2 linked regions of the Schizosaccharomyces pombe genome follow. Changing the gene in region 1 together with any one later gene gives a genetic interaction. Each region holds a gene or a part of one and is shown on either strand. Other genes may lie near its edges. The genes, in order: pdc202 and phx1.

The links.
Region 2: of pdc202 (region 1) and phx1, changing one suppresses a phenotype caused by changing the other (phenotypic suppression), as found in Schizosaccharomyces pombe (one study listed by BioGRID).

Annotation. Positions count from the first base shown.
Region 1 is NC_003424.3:583,714-588,247, forward strand, and holds pdc202 (pyruvate decarboxylase), read left to right. Parts: upstream 1-1,883; coding exon 1,884-3,599; 3' UTR 3,600-3,782; downstream 3,783-4,534. Other genes in the region: ysp2 (peptidase family M17 cytoplasmic leucyl aminopeptidase yspII (LAP yspII)), read left to right, coding at 1-320.
Region 2 is NC_003424.3:2,451,198-2,458,684, reverse strand, and holds phx1 (DNA-binding transcription factor, stationary phase-specific Phx1), read left to right. Parts: upstream 1-2,166; 5' UTR 2,167-3,137; coding exon 3,138-5,966; 3' UTR 5,967-6,892; downstream 6,893-7,487. Other genes in the region: trp2 (tryptophan synthase), read left to right, coding at 1-1,027. UniProt on the Schizosaccharomyces pombe protein: Trnascription factor that regulates the expression of the homocitrate synthase (HCS) lys4.

The sequences.
Region 1 (4,534 bases):
TTCAAGGAGAAGAGTTGTGGAAGAATCTTGAAACTGCTTCCCATGATGCTGGAGACCTTTTCTGGCGTATGCCATTTCACGAGGCTTACCTCAAGCAACTTACAAGTTCTTCAAATGCTGATTTGTGCAATGTTAGTCGTGCCGGTGGTGGTTGTTGTACAGCGGCTGCCTTTATTAAATGCTTCTTAGCCCAGAAAGATTTGTCTTTTGCTCATTTAGACATTGCCGGAGTTATGGATAAGCAGCTTAATTCTTGGGATTGTGACGGCATGAGCGGACGCCCAGTTCGCACTATTATTGAAGTCGCTCGCAAGTATTAGCTTATTTATTTTCTTGGCTATATGTGCAAACTTTATGTTTTTACTTATTTACTGTTGATTACACCAATCTCATTTTTCAATGTCCTTGTTAAGTGTATGTCAATGATATGTAGCTATCATGATTTTATTCTTTTTAATACTGTTTTCCACAACCGTTCATAACGGTTGTAAGGACCGAGTCTTTCTGATGGCTCTGGTTCTGTTTCCTTTAAAAATAAAATCAATTCGGTTGAAGTCTCATGTTGTTAAATTTCACTTTCGAAGTAGCGAATTTTTTTTTTCTATTTTGAATATAGATTTGTTTATTAAATGTAGTAATCAATTTACTCATGACTATTACTTTTGTCAAACAAAATCATAATACAAAACTAAATCTTTAAAGGTAGAATATTCTCCTGTGCGAGTTTACAATACTTTGGGATATGATCAAATCAATTTTTTTTAGATATCTGTTGAAATTTTTATAACAGTAATTTTGTATTATTTATCATACTATTTATTAGCGTTACCTGCCCTCTTAAATGTACACATCATGTGGGGGTGGGGGAACCAGTGCTGGAGATCACTTCTTGCTATACCGTTTGGCTCATGGCAACTATTGAGGATAGCAAGGAGCGTTACAATTTGCAAATCAATATGATAAACAGAAAAACAACAAGTTGAAGCTTAACACTGTAGCAATATAACAATGAAAAAAATAATCAGAATTAAAGCAAGAAGCCTATAAATGGTCCATCAATTGTGAAATCGATATTGCTAGATGTCAGGCAAATCGTGAACTCGGTTGAAAAATGTCGTTAATATTCATGTGAAATCATAATTACAGCAATATGTTCAAAGACTTTTGGATACTTTATAATAATGAGGATTCTATTTTTGAGTGGTCACATGGTCTCGTAACCATGAGGTACGCCTTACTTTTACGGACGAAACAATATTTCACATTCAGCTCTCAATGTTAAGTATCCAAACAAACATGGTACAAACCAATAAAGCATGTAAATTAATAAGCTTGAAATAAGGAATAGTCATTAAATTCAGTTTAGACATAATGTAAAAGGTATCAATTTTGTCTTTGGTATAGATACAATTAAGAATTTCGAGACGGAACGTTCGGTGATGTAGAGTTTTCATAATAATTTCTGCAGTTGCTTACACTAACCGAAGAATCGTCCAGTATAAACTGCTGACGATGCCTTAAATCAATAATTGCAAATTGCATAGTTGACGTTTTCCCGGGTGGCACATAGTGAGATTTGAGTCGAATAATGAAATAGCCTCTGACGAGTGGTTTCGTACCAAGAGTTTCAAAAAGAATAATCCACATTAACTCAATGTATCATTGATGACGGAATGTTGCTTATATAGCCAGAGTAACCCTGCTCTGAAGCATCTAAGGTTATATCTTTTTAACTTTTAGCTAGCAAACTCACTTGTTCCTTTAAGTTCAGAAAGTATCTGCTGGTTATTCAACAGATAATTATCTTGCGAAAAAGGAATACACACTCAGCATTGTAATTTGTTGAGTATATTTCACAAGCACATTAAATTGCATTATCAAACATGAGTGGGGATATTTTAGTCGGTGAATATCTATTCAAAAGGCTTGAACAATTAGGGGTCAAGTCCATTCTTGGTGTTCCAGGAGATTTCAATTTAGCTCTACTTGACTTAATTGAGAAAGTTGGAGATGAGAAATTTCGTTGGGTTGGCAATACCAATGAGTTGAATGGTGCTTATGCCGCTGATGGTTATGCTCGTGTTAATGGTCTTTCAGCCATTGTTACAACGTTCGGCGTGGGAGAGCTTTCCGCTATTAATGGAGTGGCAGGTTCTTATGCGGAGCATGTCCCAGTAGTTCATATTGTTGGAATGCCTTCCACAAAGGTGCAAGATACTGGAGCTTTGCTTCATCATACTTTAGGAGATGGAGACTTTCGCACTTTCATGGATATGTTTAAGAAAGTTTCTGCCTACAGTATAATGATCGATAACGGAAACGATGCAGCTGAAAAGATCGATGAAGCCTTGTCGATTTGTTATAAAAAGGCTAGGCCTGTTTACATTGGTATTCCTTCTGATGCTGGCTACTTCAAAGCATCTTCATCAAATCTTGGGAAAAGACTAAAGCTCGAGGAGGATACTAACGATCCAGCAGTTGAGCAAGAAGTCATCAATCATATCTCGGAAATGGTTGTCAATGCAAAGAAACCAGTGATTTTAATTGACGCTTGTGCTGTAAGACATCGTGTCGTTCCAGAAGTACATGAGCTGATTAAATTGACCCATTTCCCTACATATGTAACTCCCATGGGTAAATCTGCAATTGACGAAACTTCGCAATTTTTTGACGGCGTTTATGTTGGTTCAATTTCAGATCCTGAAGTTAAAGACAGAATTGAATCCACTGATCTGTTGCTATCCATCGGTGCTCTCAAATCAGACTTTAACACGGGTTCCTTCTCTTACCACCTCAGCCAAAAGAATGCCGTTGAGTTTCATTCAGACCACATGCGCATTCGATATGCTCTTTATCCAAATGTAGCCATGAAGTATATTCTTCGCAAACTGTTGAAAGTACTTGATGCTTCTATGTGTCATTCCAAGGCTGCTCCTACCATTGGCTACAACATCAAGCCTAAGCATGCGGAAGGATATTCTTCCAACGAGATTACTCATTGCTGGTTTTGGCCTAAATTTAGTGAATTTTTGAAGCCCCGAGATGTTTTGATCACCGAGACTGGAACTGCAAACTTTGGTGTCCTTGATTGCAGGTTTCCAAAGGATGTAACAGCCATTTCCCAGGTATTATGGGGATCTATTGGATACTCCGTTGGTGCAATGTTTGGTGCTGTTTTGGCCGTCCACGATTCTAAAGAGCCCGATCGTCGTACCATTCTTGTAGTAGGTGATGGATCCTTACAACTGACGATTACAGAGATTTCAACCTGCATTCGCCATAACCTCAAACCAATTATTTTCATAATTAACAACGACGGTTACACCATTGAGCGTTTAATTCATGGTTTGCATGCTAGCTATAACGAAATTAACACTAAATGGGGCTACCAACAGATTCCCAAGTTTTTCGGAGCTGCTGAAAACCACTTCCGCACTTACTGTGTTAAAACTCCTACTGACGTTGAAAAGTTGTTTAGCGACAAGGAGTTTGCAAATGCAGATGTCATTCAAGTAGTTGAGCTTGTAATGCCTATGTTGGATGCACCTCGTGTCCTAGTTGAGCAAGCCAAGTTGACGTCTAAGATCAATAAGCAATGAGCAAGCTATTGAGAGTGGAATTGGCAAACAAAGTTTCCTTTGATTTATATGTTTTTTATGATAAGCCCATTCAATTCATATAGTCTTTTAGTATAATGATTAGTTATTAAATTTATGTTTAAAGCAACTTTTTAGTTTAAAATTTTTCAAGTCAAGTTAGGGTGTACGTAAACAAACAATACCTTGGAAGCAATGAATGAAAAGGTAGAGTTAATCCAAACAATGTGGAAACCAGTTTCCTTGCATCTACTTACTAGTTTCGCAGAAAAATTGCTAAACTGCTTAAAAGCCAACTTTAACATTCTTATTTCTTACATAGGAGCTACCGTTCCATTCACATTGTGATATGCTAAGAATTTATTAGTTTTACAAAAATTGGGTGATTCTACTATTTAATACAGTGGTTTTGTAACGTAATGAAATTATAACGCTCGTTTATTACGATTTCCTAGGTAATGTAGCGGGTAAAGGCAATTGACTGATATTATGTATCACTCTATCACAGCAACGGACGAACGGTTTGCGTTGTTGTTTATAAATGGTTCTGCAACGCAGCTTCTGACTTTGACACTCTACACCACACCATACTTCAGCGCTCTATTCTTTCGCATAGGAAGGTAAGCTGCATTTCGTGGCGTTTGGTACCTTGAAAAAATATATTTTGGTTAATATTCGTTGGCTTTTTCTTTTAATTCTTGCTACTAATTCCAAGAATTGTGTAAGTATAGGAAGAGGCTGTGTTGATCGGTTAGTTTCGTAATTTCGGCATACTAGTGATTCCTAAAATACCGACTACTAATAATTATAAAGCTTAGATCACTTCTTTGGCTAAAGTAATTAAACCAGGAAGTCTTAAAATTCCGCTTTTTAGCATCCTAAAAATTTCCCCGTCATTTCTCAAAAGTGTTAAACGCGTGAATGTTCTCAAAGCTCTG
Region 2 (7,487 bases), 1.9 Mb from region 1:
GCGTTTAACTGAGTATTGTGGTGGTGCCCATATTTGGTTGAAGCGTGAAGACTTGAATCATGGTGGTTCACACAAAATTAACAACTGTATTGGGCAAATTCTTCTTGCCAAACGTTTAGGAAAAAACCGTATCATTGCTGAAACTGGTGCTGGTCAGCATGGAGTTGCTACTGCTATCTGTGCCGCTAAATTTGGTATGAAATGTACTATCTACATGGGTGCAGAAGATTGTCGTCGTCAAGCACTCAACGTTTTTCGCATCCGTCTTTTGGGAGCTGAAGTCGTTCCGGTTACTTCAGGTACACAGACCCTTCGTGATGCTGTTAACGAAGCTTTGAAGGCGTGGGTCGAACAAATAGACACCACTCATTATTTAATTGGATCTGCAATTGGCCCTCATCCATTCCCTACCATTGTTAAAACTTTCCAAAGTGTCATTGGCGAGGAAACGAAAGCGCAAATGCAAGAGAAGCGTAAAAAACTTCCTGATGCAGTTGTTGCTTGTGTTGGTGGTGGATCCAATTCGATTGGAATGTTTTCTCCCTTCAAAGCCGATAAAAGTGTAATGATGTTGGGTTGTGAAGCTGGTGGTGATGGTGTAGATACCCCCAAACATAGTGCTACATTGACTATGGGAAAAGTTGGTGTATTTCATGGAGTTCGAACATATGTTCTGCAACGCGAAGATGGACAAATTCAAGATACTCACTCTATATCTGCTGGATTGGATTATCCAGGTGTGGGACCCGAATTATCTGAACTTAAATATACCAATCGCGCAGAGTTTATCGCTGTCACTGATGCTCAATGTTTAGAAGGATTCCGCGCTCTATGTCATCTTGAAGGTATCATTCCCGCTTTGGAATCTTCTCATGCTGTGTATGGTGGAATGGAGCTTGCTAAAAAGTTACCTAAAGATAAGGATATTGTGATCACCATTTCAGGTCGTGGTGACAAGGATGTTCAAAGCGTAGCTGAACAACTTCCTATTTTAGGTCCTAAAATTGGATGGGACCTTCGCTTTTAAGCAATGTTCTACTCACGATTTTCTGATTTATATTAAGGCTCCGTAAACTTAAGCGGAGTTGCGATCTATAGATATACAAGCATCGCATGCGATTAAACTTTTTTATACCAAAACATATGTGTATTTCTTTTTATCTATAAATATCATTTCAATTTTGCTTCTACTATTTACTAGCCTTAAATAGCGTTGTAGTCATGTAATAACCTGTACATAATACTGTACTTATTTACCTAATAAAGGTTTTCTGTGGATTTAATTTCTTAGGCTAATTTTTCAAAGGCTTAAGAGAATTATGTGTATGCTGAAGAAGAACATTCAACAAAGCGGTTTTCTTTAGTCTATGATTTTGAGAATCATGTCCTATTTACACTACAATGCAAGTGCAAAAAATGTTTTAAAACAATTTATCAGCACGAGCAAGATGTCGTAGTATTTTCAATTTATATGGTTTTGGCTTTTTAGAGTCGCGACATAGTCTATTAACATAAGCTTTAATCTTTGGTATATTAGCAAATCTTCCAGATTGAAGTTAGCAGTTTATGGAGAGAAAATAAAATTCTTTCTGTATATTCGCCTAATAAGACCACTCAAGTCTTTAGCACTGAATAATAAAAAGTGTCACAAATCTTTGAACTATGGTAAAACTCCCAATTACAATTACTTAAGTTCGCACTCCTAAAACAGCATTACCCGTAGAATAAATTGAAAAAAAAGTATAAAATCAAACAAGTGGTACAGATCAAATTTTTAAAAATTTAGTAATGTTTCTATGTTTTTATATTACAATATTCAGATAGGTAGTATTCTCGCTTACAGTTTAGACAGTAAATGTAACATTAGTGTTTCTCCACAATTCCCCACATAGTTAATAGTAAAGTTGAGGACAAAATTATGATTTATCTATATATTCTATGAATTACATATGACCCTAGATGTACCCATTCGACAAAAGTATCCTTCAAATAATAGGTCTTAAAAACAAAGACTTGCTCATTAGAAGCAATCGATCGTTCATTCACTTTACTAAAGGATTTACCAATATGTATTGGGGGCGTCGTTTCTAAGGCAAGGTAGTACGTTAGAGTTCGTAATATAATTGTTCGGTTAGTTAAGTGAAGAGCGATATGTGAATTAAAACCACCACATCAACCATATAAAAACTACATTATTTATGAAACCATAAGCATTCTGTTTAATTCATTAAATTAGGACAGAAATTAATTAGGCTCTTGCAAGGATCAAATTGGAGTGAAATTGCATCTCTTTACGATATTTCAAGTTGTGTTTTATTGCATTAGATTTAGAGGAGCAATCAGCAACGATCTATTAGCAGTGAACGTTAACGAATATCTCAATTACATTCGGATCTTTAATTATTTGGTTTATTTATTTTTTTAATAACAAAAAAGGGAAAGAAAAATTGGGGAAAGAGAAGGGAATAATTATATTGTTAATTTTGCAATATTTTTTATCATTTAATTAGCAAACTTTTATTATTTAATTTTTAGGCAAATTTGACAACTCATCTCTTCATTTAGTCAATTTTTATTTGTTTTGACATTTGTGAGATATCCAGGGATCGATAGCCTCTGTCTACAAAGGGTCGTGTCTCTTAGTTTTCGTCAATCAGTTTCTTTCAAGATCTAGAAGGCGTACTAATTATTTCTACTTGGAGACTTTAAAGCTTGGGTATTGCTTGTCCACTGTGCTTATGTATCTGAACATAGCTACAATCTCTGCTACAAAAGCTAAAGAGAGAAGTCCCCTCCAAGAAGGGATCAAATTTATTTCGTTAGGGTTTTCTTCTGGTCAAACTTTTTTTTGGATAGGATAAGTTTTTAATTACAATAAATTCAGCGGCTGGGGTTTCATAAGTGCCCCATATTTCGAGGGTACCAGGTTCACGTTTTTTGCGTCTCCTCAAGTACTCAGAGATTCCACGGAATTTCTTTCAATTTAATTTTTTTTACATCATTTTATTTCTCTGAGCTTTCTTTAATTAATCTTCCAAAGTCACCATTCAATTTGCATTTCTTGGCATACTTTTTGAAGCAAATTTTTATTTCTCATAAGGATTTTATTTTCATTTCATTTTATTTCTAAGAACAATATGCGTAGTTATTCGAACCCAGAAAATGGTGGTCAAATTAATGACAATATTAATTATTCTGAGAAGCGACCTACAATGCTCCCGGAGAATTTGTCCTTGAGCAACTATGACATGGATTCTTTTCTCGGTCAGTTTCCATCTGATAATAACATGCAATTACCCCATTCAACGTATGAGCAGCATCTTCAAGGGGAACAGCAAAATCCTACCAATCCTAATTATTTTCCTCCTGAATTTGACGAAAACAAAGTAGATTGGAAACAGGAGAAACCCAAACCGGATGCACCGAGTTTTGCAGATAATAATTCATTTGATAATGTGAATAGTTCGAAATTGACGAATCCATCGCCAGTTCAACCTAATATTGTTAAATCTGAGTCGGAACCTGCTAATTCAAAGCAAAATGAAGTTGTTGAAGCTACATCTGTTGAGAAAGCTAAGGAGAATGTCGCTCACGAAAGTGGTACTCCTGAGAGCGGCGGATCTACTTCTGCGCCAAAGAGCAAAAAACAGCGCCTTACTGCAGATCAACTTGCTTATTTGCTTCGGGAATTCTCCAAAGATACTAATCCACCTCCAGCTATAAGGGAAAAAATTGGACGCGAGTTGAATATTCCGGAACGTAGCGTAACTATTTGGTTTCAAAACAGAAGAGCAAAATCAAAGCTCATTTCAAGACGTCAAGAAGAAGAAAGACAAAGGATCCTTCGTGAGCAGAGAGAATTGGATTCCTTAAATCAAAAAGTTTCACAAGCATTTGCGCACGAAGTATTGTCTACTTCACCTACCAGTCCCTACGTTGGGGGAATAGCAGCTAATAGGCAGTATGCGAACACGTTATTGCCTAAACCAACTAGAAAAACAGGAAACTTTTATATGAAAAGTGGACCTATGCAATCTTCCATGGAGCCATGCATAGCAGAGTCAGACATTCCGATCCGTCAGTCTCTTTCTAGTACATACTACAATAGTCTAAGTCCAAATGCCGTTCCTGTCTCAAGTCAAAGGAAATACTCTGCCTCTTCTTATTCCGCAATCCCAAATGCTATGTCGGTATCAAATCAAGCTTTCGACGTAGAATCTCCACCCTCTTCGTATGCTACTCCACTTACAGGCATCCGTATGCCTCAACCAGAGTCAGATCTTTACTCCTATCCTAGAGAAGTGAGCCCTAGTTCTGGGGGTTACAGAATGTTCGGTCATTCCAAGCCTTCATCATACAAAGCATCAGGGCCTGTTCGTCCTCCTAATATGGCAACAGGGCACATGCGTACTTCTTCAGAACCGACCTCATATGATTCGGAATTTTACTACTTTTCTTGTACATTACTAGTAATTGGTTTATGGAAAAGACTACGAGCCTCTCCTCAGGATTTAATGTGTTTCTACTCTCCGCCAAAGAAATTATTTGCATATTTGATTCAATTCCAGGGGATTCAGTATCGTATTGAATATTCTTTTTTTGTCATTGAGTCGATACACGTTTTTAGAGTAGAGGAGCCCTTGTTAAATGAGTTGAGTGCAACTGCGTCTAGTCGAGATAAACCGGCACCAAATGAATATTGGCTTCAAATGGATATTCAGCTGAGTGTTCCACCAGTATTTCACATGATCACTTCCGAAGGACAGGGAAATTGTACGGATTTTACTGAGGGTAATCAGGCTTCGGAAGTTTTATTACATTCTTTGATGGGAAGAGCTACTAGCATGTTTCAAATGCTCGATCGGGTTCGAAGGGCATCGCCAGAGTTGGGGTCTGTAATCCGCCTTCAAAAAGGTCTTAATCCTCACCAATTTTTGGACCCTCAATGGGCTAATCAACTTCCTAGACAACCTGATAGCTCTGTATTTGATCATCAAGGAAGAAACCCTCCTATCCAGGGATTGTCTCATGACACTTCTTCTGAATATGGCAATAAAAGCCAGTTTAAAAGGCTTCGTAGCACTTCAACCCCTGCTAGACAGGATTTGGCTCAGCATCTTTTACCTCCGAAAACTAATACTGAAGGGCTTATGCATGCTCAATCTGTGTCTCCTATTACTCAAGCAATGAAATCTGCTAATGTTTTGGAAGGAAGTTCTACAAGACTAAACTCTTATGAGCCTTCAGTTTCATCTGCTTATCCGCACCATAATTTAGCGCTTAATCTTGATAACACGCAGTTTGGTGAGCTTGGCACATCTAATATATCATATCCTTTATCGGCACCATCCGATGTCGGCTCACTTCCTCGAGCATCCAATTCACCAAGCCGACCTGTGATGCATCCAAATACACAAGGTATTAACACGGAAATAAAAGACATGGCAGCGCAGTTTCCCAATTCACAAACTGGTGGTCTCACTCCAAATTCATGGTCAATGAACACAAACGTATCCGTCCCATTTACGACTCAAAACAGAGAATTTGGCGGCATTGGCTCTTCTTCAATTTCCACCACGATGAATGCACCAAGTCAACAGTTATCTCAGGTACCATTTGGAGATGTCTCCCTTGCTACTGAGAACTCTGTCCCGTCGTATGGATTTGAAGTACCATCTGAAGAGTCTGTTTACGCGCAAGCCCGTACAAATTCATCTGTTTCTGCTGGGGTTGCTCCTCGGTTATTCATTCAAACACCGTCTATACCTTTAGCATCATCTGCTGGACAGGATAGTAATTTAATTGAGAAAAGTAGTAGCGGTGGTGTGTATGCGTCGCAACCCGGAGCTTCGGGCTACTTATCTCATGACCAAAGTGGTAGTCCATTTGAGGATGTTTACTCTCCTTCTGCTGGTATAGATTTTCAGAAACTTCGTGGTCAACAATTTTCTCCGGACATGCAGTAAATTTTGTGATATGATGATTAACGGTACAATTGAAACTCGCTTGAAGCTTGCTTATTTTCGTTTTCTTTTGATAACGAGAAGATGTTTAACTCTTGAAAATTACATGCCTCGTTTGTATTTTTATGACCGCTTACGTTTTTATAAATTCATCAATATCTCTAAAAGGTTTAAAGGATTAATTTTTGATCTATATTATACAAGGTATTCTTGAATAATGTTTAATTTGGTGATAAAAATACAATTCCATGGAAAAAAATTGTGCTTCCATGTATTATTGTCTGGGAAGAACTTTGATGCGAAAAAAAAAATAAAAGACCTCTACAAGGCACTTCATATACGATTATGTATGGTTTATGTTTTTTTTACTTCTTTAATTTTATTTTATTTTATGTTCCAAAGCGATAGGAGGTATTACATATTGTTGTATCGTGTATGCAATACTTAATGATCCTAGCATTTCATTTGAAGAAACTCCGTCAATGATCGAATCCAAATTCCACTGAAAAAATGTAATGGAGTTTGAACAGTATCGTACCCACGAGCGTGAGTTGGATTATTGAGTTTTTGCATGTTTAGCCGACACATATTTTTTTGGCGACTTTAAACTTTTTTATTTACCATTTATTTCTCTTTTTAAGTTATGAATAATTTCTTTTTCCTCATGTATATTATTACTTTATTTTCATGTTTTTTTTTTTATTAATTTGACATTTAGGACGATTATTATTTTCGTTATTTCTCCTTTCCAGCGGGAACGTTTCAGCATCACAGTTTTTGCACATAAACTATAATAATTTTGAAAGCATTATGAGTTAATTTAGTAGAATTAGATTCTTTGAAACATAATCCATCAACGAAGCTGTCCGCCTTTTTTTTAAGAGGTGCATGCCATATATAGTCATTTTCTGTGTAAATAAACATTTCACTAGTAGATAATTTTTTGAGATGAGCAAAGAATTGAATGAACCAAAGTAATAATTGTTAAGATATAATATTAGAAAATTTATTTTAAAGATGTATATTAGAATGTATTTAGACTAAGCTCGTAATATATATTTTTTTCATTTTCTTAAAATTTATTTTGTTTTATTATAAGAATGAATTTATGTTTCATGAATGGAGAATATCAATAAAAAAATTGTTTGGAGGTGACAAATATATAAGATTTGCTTTTAATATCTATAAAATAATTTTTATCAGTTAGTACAAAAGTATAGGACAAAAATATGAACAATGATTTCGGGCGCCTACTTTGAAGGTGATGTTGTTTTTTGCTGATGCCTATAAGCTGAAGCTAAAGCAGCACACACCAGATTAGATAGATGATTGATTATACTGAAACACTCTAAGATACGGAAATTCTCCGAACAATAAGAAAGCCAAAAAAGAGAAAAAGAAGTGAAAGAAACGCCTTCCATATATCGATTGAACATTGCGACCAATCGATCAACTAACAAGAACAAGTAAGCCAGCCCAGCCCTTCTTCTTCCACTGTTTACCGAATAATGAAGAACAATATGT